Linked DNA regions of Ovis aries. The protein of the gene in region 2 purifies or fractionates together with the protein of the main gene of each other region. This does not show direct contact. Links are inferred from orthologs where the notes say so. Each region holds a gene or a part of one and is shown on either strand. Other genes may lie near its edges. The genes, in order: WDR20, VSX1 and USP12.

Evidence for each region.
Region 1: the proteins of VSX1 (region 2) and WDR20 purify together in Homo sapiens (affinity purification with mass spectrometry; 3 studies listed by BioGRID and IntAct, with this or other methods). This does not show direct contact. The link is inferred for Ovis aries from reciprocal best matches to the Homo sapiens genes VSX1 and WDR20.
Region 3: the proteins of VSX1 (region 2) and USP12 purify together in Homo sapiens (affinity purification with mass spectrometry; 3 studies listed by BioGRID and IntAct, counting the BioPlex papers as one, with this or other methods). This does not show direct contact. The link is inferred for Ovis aries from reciprocal best matches to the Homo sapiens genes VSX1 and USP12.

Annotation. Positions count from the first base shown.
Region 1 is NC_056071.1:64,661,392-64,665,039, forward strand, and holds part of WDR20 (WD repeat-containing protein 20), read left to right. Parts: intron 1-53; coding exon 54-240; intron 241-1,249; exon of another isoform or gene 1,250-1,421; intron 1,422-2,834; coding exon 2,835-2,938; intron 2,939-3,648. UniProt on the Homo sapiens protein: Regulator of deubiquitinating complexes. Activates deubiquitinating activity of complexes containing USP12. Anchors at the base of the ubiquitin-contacting loop of USP12 and remotely modulates the catalytic center of the enzyme.
Region 2 is NC_056066.1:42,253,827-42,258,093, reverse strand, and holds the start of VSX1 (visual system homeobox 1), read left to right. Parts: upstream 1-1,383; coding exon 1,384-1,807; intron 1,808-4,121; coding exon 4,122-4,200; intron 4,201-4,267. UniProt on the Homo sapiens protein: Binds to the 37-bp core of the locus control region (LCR) of the red/green visual pigment gene cluster. May regulate the activity of the LCR and the cone opsin genes at earlier stages of development. Dispensable in early retinal development.
Region 3 is NC_056063.1:32,991,069-32,994,344, forward strand, and holds part of USP12 (ubiquitin carboxyl-terminal hydrolase 12), read left to right. Parts: intron 1-1,349; coding exon 1,350-1,536; 3' UTR 1,537-2,559; coding exon of another isoform or gene 2,560-2,661; 3' UTR 2,662-3,276. UniProt on the Homo sapiens protein: Deubiquitinating enzyme that plays various roles in the regulation of the immune response and inflammation.

The DNA.
Region 1 (3,648 bases), on a different chromosome or scaffold from region 2:
GTTCTCATCTCAATGTGCTGTTTACCGTGTGTATTTTTCTCTTTCTCCTCCAGGCTGCTGACTTGAGTAAACCAATAGATAAAAGGATATACAAAGGAACACAGCCTACTTGTCATGACTTCAACCACCTAACAGCCACAGCAGAAAGTGTCTCTCTCCTAGTGGGCTTTTCCGCAGGCCAAGTCCAGCTTATAGACCCAATCAAAAAAGAAACTAGCAAACTATTTAATGAGGAAGTAAGTAGCACCCTGTCTTAGCTGTTAAGAACCCCTATAAGAATGTATACGTTCTTACCGAGGGTATGGGCCTTATAATTTTACTCTTTGAGTGAAGCCCATTTTCCATCCTCAGCTGTCCTACCTAGTATGACCCAAGTTTAAATGTGGTGCGTTAACTTGGTGACTTTTACCTGTTCTTTATTGGGCTAACTGTTATTTTGTGCATTTTTGTGTCTATAGCAGGTGTTTTAAGAAAAATTGTTTTTATAATGGAGATAAGGCTTGATCTTTATAATTTAAATAAGAAGATAAAGAATTCTAAACTGTGTTCACATCGCCAGAAAATTTCAAGCAGATCAAAGAACTTGCTAATATTTCCTTAGTTTTCGCAAACGGTAGATAAAGTGTTAATGTGTGTGTTTGACAGGCATACATCTAAGAATTTGCTCTCTTGCTCTTGAAAGCGTTTGCTCTAAAATCACCTCTGATGTGGTTAGAAGTCCTGGCCCTTGAAACTGGCTGGCATGGCACAAGCTCCTGCCTGTGTTGTGCTGTGTCCTGGGATTCCTGGTGTCTCCAGTCTCATTCTTGATGGAGCCCAAGAGATCTGAGCTGTTTGTTCAGAAACATGTCAGAACCTTTAAATCTGGGCAGATGGAAGTTGCCGGACGGATTACATCTTTAAAAGCTTTTGGAGTGGCTTTTTAGTCTGAAGTCTTGCCGTTACATATTTGATGCACTTCCTCTGCTGTTTCAGTGTGACTTTCCTAGTAAATGGAGCGGACGAGGTCGGCTTGCTGAGTTAGAGGCCCTGGCTGCAGTCTCCTTGTAACCTCAGCCCTGGGGTGATGAGGTCAGGTCACCTGAGCCCCTGTCGGGAAGGGCAGGAGGTTTTGCATTGTTGCATGGTCTAAAAGTTATTAACTTGAAACAGAAGTAAGTTACAGATTCTGGCTTTTAAGAAAATAATTTTGTTTGGGAAAGAATACTCCACTTGACAAATTGCAGTTAAAATTCTGATTCTTTTGCAGTCCCTATGGTATATGCTGTCCATGTATATCCAGTATCCATCCACAGTGCTCCTGTTGGACTTTGCCAATGGATTTGGTGAAATCTTTTGAACCATGCTATCTCCTCTTCTAGTTTCATCTGGGTTGACTGGAACAAAACTTGCCATCTGGATTGACAAACTAGAGAGGAAAAGTATTTAATCCCATTTTCTGTTTAAAAAAAAAAATCTTAAGCAGAAAATTATTCTGTTTCCCTAAACATTTTATTAACAGCATCTGAGGGAGTGATTTCTAAGTGGCTGGATGATTCGGGGGGAGGTTGGTGGTGGGGAGAGTGGGGGTACAAAACTACCCTTGCCTGCACTCTCAGTAGAAACGCGAACTTGGCATCCTGCAGGGTCTTTATTTAGGTGGGGACGTGCTTTCGGCGGGGAGGGACTGGAGCCATGTAAAGGGTGGTTGGTAAACAAGGTCGGGAGGCCGCCCGGCTGTGGATGGCACAGCATGCCTCTTGGAGAACAAGAAGGATTTGTGTGCCGTCGCTGGAGGGGGGTGGCGTGCAGCAGAGGCCCCAGGGCCCCGAGAGCACTCGATCGCCTCAGCTCGCCCCATTCCTCACTCAGGATAGCCAGGAGCCACAGGCTGCAGCTCCCCACCCTCAGGGAGTGAAGCGGAGTTACCTCCTACTCTTGTACATTTTATTTGGAAAGTGGCTGTTCAAAGGGAGAGAGGATTGTGTGTGGTTTAATGCCAACTTGGCATTTACAGCTCGAGGCTGAAATTGATTGCCCTTCACAGTGAGGGTGTTCTTTGTCGTACGGATAGCATTCTCATCAGATTTTGGTCAGGATGTCTTAGAGACAGGGTCATTGGAGGTTTGTTTCTCAGAGGGTGCCAGGGATGGTGGTCGAAGCAGTTGTTGGGCCGTGCTTTGCATTCATGTGAGACTTGGAGGTTTCCGAGTATTTTACCTGCTTTCTCTGCACGAGAGGGCGGGCTGTTGTCTCCACTGTGCAGACAAGGAATTAGAGAGAGGGCAAGTGAGTCGTCCAGACCCGGCAGCAATTTGATGATATGCTTAGATCCAGAAATTAATTCCACACATCCTTACTGGCCATAGATAGGAAGCCCCATCATAGCTGGTTGCCATATGGGCCTTGTCACCTCTGGAGCTCACTCTTCTGTGAGATGGACAGGGAGGATGTGGAGTGTGTGTTACGAACAAAGTAGCAAGAGAGGTGAGTATTAATTGCACTCTTCAGGATGTACCAGATACCATAAAATAAAAACAAAAATTCAGCGAGGGAAGTTTGAGAAAGCTTGCAGAAGGTGACATTTGACCTGGGTTTGAAAGATGCAGAGGAGTTGGAGGAGGATGAGAAGGGCCTTCGAAGCTGGAGAAAACACCTTAGCATGTGGAGGAACATGAGGCCAACAAAGGAGTCCAGACCTCAGTGCGTGGGCCTTGGAGTGGCTGGAGGTGAAGCTGGACAGGTGAACTGGAACCAGATTGCAAAAGCCTTTCGTGACATGCTGAGAAATTTGGATCTGACACTGGAGGCTGTGGGGCAACCTTTGGGGTTTTACTTTATGAAGGAAGTGATAGGATCAAGTGTGTTTTTTTCGAACTCTTGTCAGCACTTGGGGAAGGCGGATTGGAATGAAGATAGCAAGATGAGTGAGGAGGCTCTAGTGACTGTCCAGGAGAGAGCTGAGGACTTGACCTGGGGTTGGGACCATTTCCTCATTCATTCTGCAGACCTTGGTGGCTGACCGTGTGCAGAGAACACCTGCCCTGTGTTTCCCCTCCAGAGGGGGGAGAAGTGTGAACAATGCCACACACACTCACATACACACACTCACACGGCACGTGGTGGTGACTTGTGATGTCAGAGGAGACAGTGGGCCTGAGGGAGAGAGACAGACACAGCGCCTGATGGACAGGGACGTGGGGCATGTCTCGGAGGAGGTGGTATGCTTTGAGCCTCGCCTCGCGTGAGAAGGCCCCCCCAGGTACGAAGCTGGAGCTGGAGTGTCCCTGCAGGAGGGAGAGCAGGGGCAGCCCCTGTGGGAATGCACCCGGGGCCAGGAGCCCTGGGAGAGGGGTGTCGGGTGAGGGCCTGGCCACGGTTGCTGCCTGGCCTCCGTGCAGGGAATCTCGCACAGGGGAGCCAGAGGTGGTCTGCGTGGTGTTTTTGAAAATTACTCTGGCTCCATCTTGGAGACGGAGTTGGAGAGATAGATGAGCAGATGCTGGGTTTCTGGCTCACTAGGCGCACTGGGTGAGAGGGGAAGGAGCAGGTGCTGGAGCAGAGCGAAAGGTCAGAGTTCCTTTTCCCGCTTGTCAAGCTTGCGAGGCCGGGGTAGTTGGGTCTGTGGATCTGGAGGTTCAGACTAGAGGTGAATTCTGGGAGTGGTCA
Region 2 (4,267 bases):
CTCAGGAACAGCTTGCGAGGGGGAGATTTGGGTCTTCTTTTAATAATGAAAAGTTAATGCGCAGCCTCTTGTAATTATCTTTATCGGAAGCCCCTCGCTTAATCCTGGGGTTTGCAGAAGACCCAGTTGGGGGCGCAGACTTTGCCGGATTCAGCTCCAGCTCGGGATCCTTCTCGGCTCCGGCTAGTCCCGGCTCCGGCTCGGCTCGGCTCGAGCTCGGGCTCGGCTCGGGCTACACCGCGGGGTGCGCGCAGAGACCCACCAGGCGCCCACGCTGCGCTGGGAGAGCTGCCTCACCCCTCACTGAGCGCCTACTCGCCGCTTGCCCTCTGAAGGGCTGTACTGAGAGGTTCGGCTTCCCGGATCCCGGGTTTGAGAAGGATGGACTCCGAGCGATTCGGGTTTGGTAGGCTCGGATTTTCCGAGTGGGAACCAGGAGAGGTTTACCCACGTGCTGCGTTTCGAGACAACTTAATACGGGCGCCTTACGTGAAAATCAGGCTTTCTTCGAAAAATTATAAAATCTGACATTAATTTGCTAGCTTCTGTGTGGGGTGGGTCCCAGTAGACACGCCCTATTTTCCAACTTACCTTCCCCATTTAGGGCTCGCCAGATAATATACTGGTACACACTTATAATTTTAAAACTCACTGTTCATCTGAAATTTCGATTTCACTGGACCTCCTGTAATGCAATTTGCTAAACGTGGCTTCCTTGCCCTGGCCGGGTTAGTCCGCTCAGGCCTGTCTCTACTTCTTCTCCAGCTCCCGTGAATTTTGCGACCTGGGACAGTCCGGCCGCTAGAGCGCTGGGGTGGGTTTGGCTGGAGGTGGAGTAGGCACGGATTAAATAAATGTTTTCCACTCCTTTCCCCTTGGGGATTTTCAGGGAAGGCCTTGGCTCAGGCGGTGGCATTGGAGGGCTGGCGGGGTTCATATTGGTGGTGATGGGGAGAGTGCGGCTGGGAACGGGGTCTTGGTCTTAATGGACGACTGGATGCGGGGAAGGCGGGTCTGTGCCGGGCCTCCACCGGGGAATCCACCCGGAAGGGGAGAGAAGACTCCGAAGGAATCTGGAACTTTCGGCGTTTAGAGGTTTAGGGAGGGGACGACTCGCGCCGAGAACCGGCGTGGGGTTGGTAGCGGGGACGACTGGAGAGGAGAGAGGAGAGGGTGCTGATGGAGGGGACCGCAGCTGGGAGGGCGGCGACCAAAGGGAGGGGGGCAGGTGGCGTCCCCATGTCGCGGGGTCCCGGGCGTGACGCGTCCGCGCCGCGCTGATTGGAGCCCTCCGGGAGCCCGACTGTATAAAGCGCTCTCAGAGCTGCGCCCCCTCCGCGAAAGTGACGGACCAGAGGGCCCAGCTTCGCCGCTGGAGAAGCCATGACCGGCAGAGACGCGCTTTCCGACGGGCGTGCCAGAAGCAGGGCGCTGGTGCCCGGAGGCCCGTCCACCGGCTCGCGCCCCCGGGGCTTCGCCATCACCGACCTGCTGGGCCTGGAGGCCGAGCTGCCCGCACCTGCGGGCCCCGGCCCGGGATCCGGGTGCGAAGGCCCGGCAGCCGCGCCCCGCGTGGGCCCAGGGCTCGGAGGCTCCTGCCCAGCACGCGGAGCCCTTCCGTTGGGCCTCGGTCTCCTCTGCGGTTTCGGCGCGCAGCCCCCTGCGGCTGCCCGGGCACCCTGCCTGCTCCTCGCCGACGTGCCCTTCCTGCCGCCCGAGGGGCCTGAGCCCCCCGCTCCGCGCTTCCCCGGCCGCCCACTGCCCTCGGCCGCCCGCCAGAAACGCAGCGAGAGCGTGTCGACGTCGGGTAAGGATGCCAGTCCGCGACCCTACTGTCTCTTCCCTCGGCTCGGGTGGGCAGAGTGACACTCTGGCGCCCCGTCGGGCCCCACCCCAGTCCCCCAGATCTATAGAAGTGGGGACCCTAGAGCGTAGCGGCGCCGGGAGGCGCATTCTCGCACCAGCACCCTCTGCGCCCCTGCCCCCGCCCCCGTCCCGGCCTCTCCTCTGGGCTTGGTCGCCGCCACCCCGCGGACACCACCACCCGATCAGGACCCGCCCTGGGGTCTCGGCGACCCAGCCTCCGGGGGACACTTTCCGCCACGCGGGGCTCGGCCTCTGGGTGCCGCAGGGGTCGGGAAACCTGGGTGGGCCTACCTTGTTTATCAGCGGCACGGAACCCGGTACCCGCCGGCTCCAAGAGGGATTAGACAAACCGATTGACGGATTGACAGGCCCTTGAGCGCCGGGCGGAGGCCTGGATCTGTCCTCCTCCGGGTGCTGAAGAGCGAGTCTGGGCACCCCGCTTCTCCCCTACTCCCCTCACTGGAGAAGCGGGCTCTCCCTCTTACAGCAGCTGTGCCCAGATCCTCAGAGAAGTCGGCACGGACTGTAGAGTAAAGCAGGGAGCGGTGGAAATCGACAAAGACAGGGCGGAGAAGTCGAAAGGTTTGGGGCATGGGGGAAGAGAACGGAGAATTTCAGAAGAGTTCGAGGGAGAACAGCTATGTGATAGTAGACCGCAGAGCTGAGCATCCAGGCGGCTGAATGCAGAAACTGCGCTGGTCTCCACTACTGATTAAAGGAAGCAGGCGCGGTCGGCAGACACTCACTCTGAGAGGACTTTATTTCATGAGTGTCTACTAGGTGCCAAGTTGCTTCGGTCCTGTCCGGCTTTTTGAGACCTGATGGACGGTAGCCCGCCAGGCTTCTCTGTCCATGGGATTCTCCAGGCAGGAATATTGGAGTGAATTGCCATGCCCTCCTCAGGGGATCTTCCCGACCCAGGCATGGAACCTGCATCTCTTGTGTCTCCTGCATTGGCGGGGGGTTTCATTACCACCAGTATCTAGCAAATAACCACCCCCTCCATTAGTTGTCTCACTAAAAATGCAGGAACCGATTTCATACTGTGGATTTTTTTTCCCTGTGAGGACCCACAAAGCTAAGGGAAAATACAACCACATCCTAGCCTGTGAGGGTATTTCTCAAGACCAAGACCAATAGTGTCTTGTGGAATCGTCATGTGACTGGGAGTGTAATGAAAGTTTCTTAGAGCCACAATAAAAAGGAAAATAAATAGGTGAAACAGATTTAAATACTATGTCTCATTTAATCCAATACCTACAAAATATTGTCATTGTATGTGTTATCAATATAAGAGTTATTAATATTTTACTCTGAGGGGGTCTATTGTTTTCAGTCTATTGGATATTTCATGCTCACAGCTGGTCTCAATTTAGACTGGCCACATTTCAGGGCTCCATAACCTTATGTATCTAATGGTATCAGATTGGACAGCACAGATAGTATAATATCATAATCCAATCTTCTGGTGAACTCACTGATGTAGGAGTAAAACTGATATTATTTTACTACTTTTGCTTTTATTAATTTACATTTAGTATTTTGAAACATATATGCTTTTTAACAACAAAGCTGACCATAGTTCGGTCTTCTAAACTTTCTTTCAGCTTAAATCTTTCAATATAATGGATTTCAAAAGATAAAGCATAGTGGAGTGGGTTCTTAAAATTTTTGATGTGCATCTGTGAATCATCTGGGTACCCGGGCCAAGAATGAGTTTCCCAGGTCCCACTTTCAGAGATTTGAAATTGGTACAGCAGGGCTGTCACAAACCTCAGTCTTCCCGTTGAGAAGTGGTGGCATAATGGCTAAGATGAAGAACGTGAGATGGAAGCAGAAGGAAGTGTATGGATTTGGAAGCTGAAGGGAACAGGAAATGCAATTAGTGTTCAAGTAGCTTAGGCTTCACACACATTTGGGGTTTGAATTCCAACTTCACTGTTGACAACCTTTGTGATCTTGGGACAAGTTAATCTCTCTGTGCCTTGGTTTCCTCTGTAAAAGGAGGATAATAATAGCAGCTGTCATGGAGGTTTTTTTTTTTTAAATTTATGAAGAATAATGTTGATATGCATGGGCAATCAGTTAAGTGCAGCACTTGGAATATGTCATCAGATGTGAAAACTGTGATCTTGTCTTGTTAAATATTCACATCCCAGACAAGTTCATAGCTTCAGTCCTCAAATTAAAATCCAGAGGGCAAAATGAAAAATGTGCTCACCTCTAAAGTCCTCTTCTTCTCCTTGTGCTAACAGATGAGGACAGCCCTTCTGAAGACAGGAGTGACCGGAAGGCGTCGCCGGCCCCCAGCAAGAGGAAGAAGAGGAGGCACAGGTACTAAGATCCCACATGGCGTTCCCCACCCCGCCTTCCTCGAGACCTTGTGCCTGAGAAGGTCTGG
Region 3 (3,276 bases), on a different chromosome or scaffold from region 2:
CAGAACATGGTCAAGATAGCTGGGAGGGGGGGGGTCCACGTCTGTCACGGTCCTTAACCTCCATGGTCTGCGTCAGCCCATTTCCTGTCATTTATCCTCAGCAGTAATCTCGCTTTTCCATTTTTGGAGCATTCTGTTTCTAAAGTAAGTAAAGACATCTGAACAGAGGAAAACAGTATCAGATAACTTACAGAACCCTACTGTAATGATCAGACTGGAGGTTCATGTTAGCATTAAGGTTTTTTTTTTAAGTTTAAGATGTTTTCTTCTGCAGGGAAAAAGTACTCTCGTCATATCTTTCTGTCAACAAGATACTCATTTTAACTACGGGATCAAAGATCTGAAGAAACTGGGAGGCAGCTTATTCTCACATCTGAGGTTGCTGCTTTTAAAACAGTATTCAGAGCCATAAAGGATAATTTGTGTTGAAAATTTTTTCAAGGCCTATAATATAATAATTGTGGTAGAATTGTAATTTAATTAAAAATGATATAGGCTTTTCTAGTGAGTCATACTTAAGTAACTGGGAGCAGGTAAAAAAAATATTTGATATGTTCTTTAAAAAGAATTTCTTTTAGGGAATTTGCTGGTGATCCAGTGGTTGGGACTCTATGCTTCCACTGCAGGGAACATGAATTCAGTCTCTGGTTGGGGAATGAAGATCCCACAAGCCAAGCAGCATGGCCCCCCAAAAAAATAAACCCCACCTTTATTTTTACATTTTTCTAGATTTCTGTATCCCAGATTTATTTAAAATGAAATGCAGAGGCAATTATAATAATTACATGTTGCTAAGAATTAAATACTTAAAACTAGCACTAATAATACTAAAAATAAGTTATTTGTTTAGAGAAGTTTATGAAGTTGGAGCTTGATTGCAGATCCAAGATTTCAGTATCTTTTTCAAGCATCATGTGGAATTTTTCCTCAAGAAAAACTATTGCCAAGGGTTAAGATTCAGAAATAATTCTATGTACATTGTTCGACAGTTATAATTCAGTGTGTTCTGGCCTCTCCTGCCCCACAAAAATGCTAGAAATTTTATTTAAGTCTCTTGCAGAATCAAATTTGAACATTACTTCAAAAATAATAATTTTGAAAGGCAACAAAGAATTTTAATAGTATAGCTTTATATAGATAGAATACTGGTTATATCTCTCAGAGTACAGATTATTTTAAAATCAAATGACAGTTCAGATCAACGTAGCTTGATCTCTTGGGGGGAAAGAATAGGTAAGGAACATTTTTATCTGTTTCAGTTTTTCTCCTTTCAGAACAAGGAATTTAGAACATAGAAGAGTAATACTAATAAACTGTATAAAGCTAACTTTTGCTTCTCTCTGTTTTAGTGGTCCCAATCGAGGCCATTACATTGCAATAGTTAAGAGTCATGATTTTTGGTTGTTGTTTGATGACGACATTGTAGAAGTAAGTAGTTTCCTGATTTCTTGTTTTCCTTTAAAGTTGTGTGTGCATCTTGCTCGTGACCTTTTCCTTCCAGCTTCTCATTGTGTAGGACAAGTCTTCAGGTTGTAATCGAATCCCTACTTCTCTCCCTAATGCCCAGTTCAGTGCTGCTGGAACAGTCGGCTATCCTTGAAAATGTCTAGAATAAAAACAAGTGAGATCTTTCAACCACAGAGCTAGTTAAGAAAAGAAAAAGAACTTATACCGTTAAGAAAATAACTTACTGAGCTATAAGACACAGTTAAGTGTGCAGATTTTAAGCAACAGTTTAAATTGTTACATGTGAACACACACACGAGTGCACACACATAACTGCCGTCTAGATCAAGAAATAGTGTGTTTCAACACGCCAGCAAGCTCTGTCATTCCTTTTCCCCTTCAGTACCTACGGCTTTCCCCTCCCATCCGCCATCCCCTGGAACCCACTGTTTCTAATCTTATTGCCTTACTGGGGTTAATTTTGTCTCTGTTTGAATACAAGTGGACTCATCCAGTATGACTTCTTTGGTGTCTTTTTTCACTCATTCGCGTTTATGCAGTTCATTCTTGTTACTTGCAGTAGTGGTTCTTTTTTTTCTATCTAATTTTTCATTGTACAAATATACCATGTGAGAAACTTGGCTTTTTGTCCATTAATGATTATTAAAGTAAAACTGCCTTGGTTACCCTCGTACAAGTCTTTCTCTGATCATATGCACTCGTTTTTTTTTTTCTTGAGTATATATTAGGTTGGACCTTATGAAATTGCCAAGTCCATAGATCCCAGATGGTTGACAATCAGTTGTTTCTTATAGTTCATCCTGTACCTAGGAATAGAATTGCTGGGTCACAGGGTATGTTCAGGCTTAGAAGATGATGAAAGTATTTTGTCTGCGTCTGGTGCGGTTTTGCAGTCCCAGCTGTGAATGAGGGTTTCGTTTGTTCCACATTCTCACCAATACTGGGCATCATCCAAGCCATTCTGATTGTGCAGAGCTGTTTTACAAATGAGAAAATGAAAGACATTATCCTAAGAAAGGCTGAAGCTTTTACTGGATTCCAGGAGTCCGAAGAGCTCATTTTTCTACTGACGTTTGTTTTTTTCCCTCACAGAAAATAGATGCACAAGCTATTGAAGAATTCTACGGGTTAACATCAGATATCTCGAAGAACTCTGAGTCTGGCTACATCCTTTTCTATCAGTCCCGGGACTGAGGGAGCTGCGATGAAGAGAGACTTTCTGCCTCATTTCTTCTCTGGTTATTTGGGAAAAGATCAAGCACCGATTTTTTCCAAGAAAAGAGAACTGCGGGGAGCTCAGGGGGGCAGCAGCGCACTTTGCACACAATAAAGCAAAGGCTGTGGGTTAACACGCTCTTCCTATCCTGGTAGTTGATTGATTCGCTCAGGTATCATGCTGTCTGTGCAGCTCTGCACAAGGCAGTGGAATCAGAGATACCAGCTCCTCTTGTGGAAACAGCCTTCCAGTAACCGACATGCATTTTCTCTTCCTTCATTGCACCAGTAGTGATTGAGCTCCTTGGGGGTGCAGCAGAGAGAACGGGAGTCTGTGCGAGGTTATACTGACGATGGCAGGAGGTGATGCTGAACACGCCGCACACGCGCGCGCCTGGGTTGGACACACAGAGAGAGAACACTGGGTAGTCTTTTCGAGCGTAAACCAGAAATGCTTTTTGGGCCCAACACTTGCAGTCGCCTTCCTGATGTAAAGAGACTTAACAGATACTAGAATCCAGTGTCAGGAAGGCAAATAACGTTTGCTTCTCTGAAGAAGCTTATAATCATATACAGTATATGTATATCTAGGGA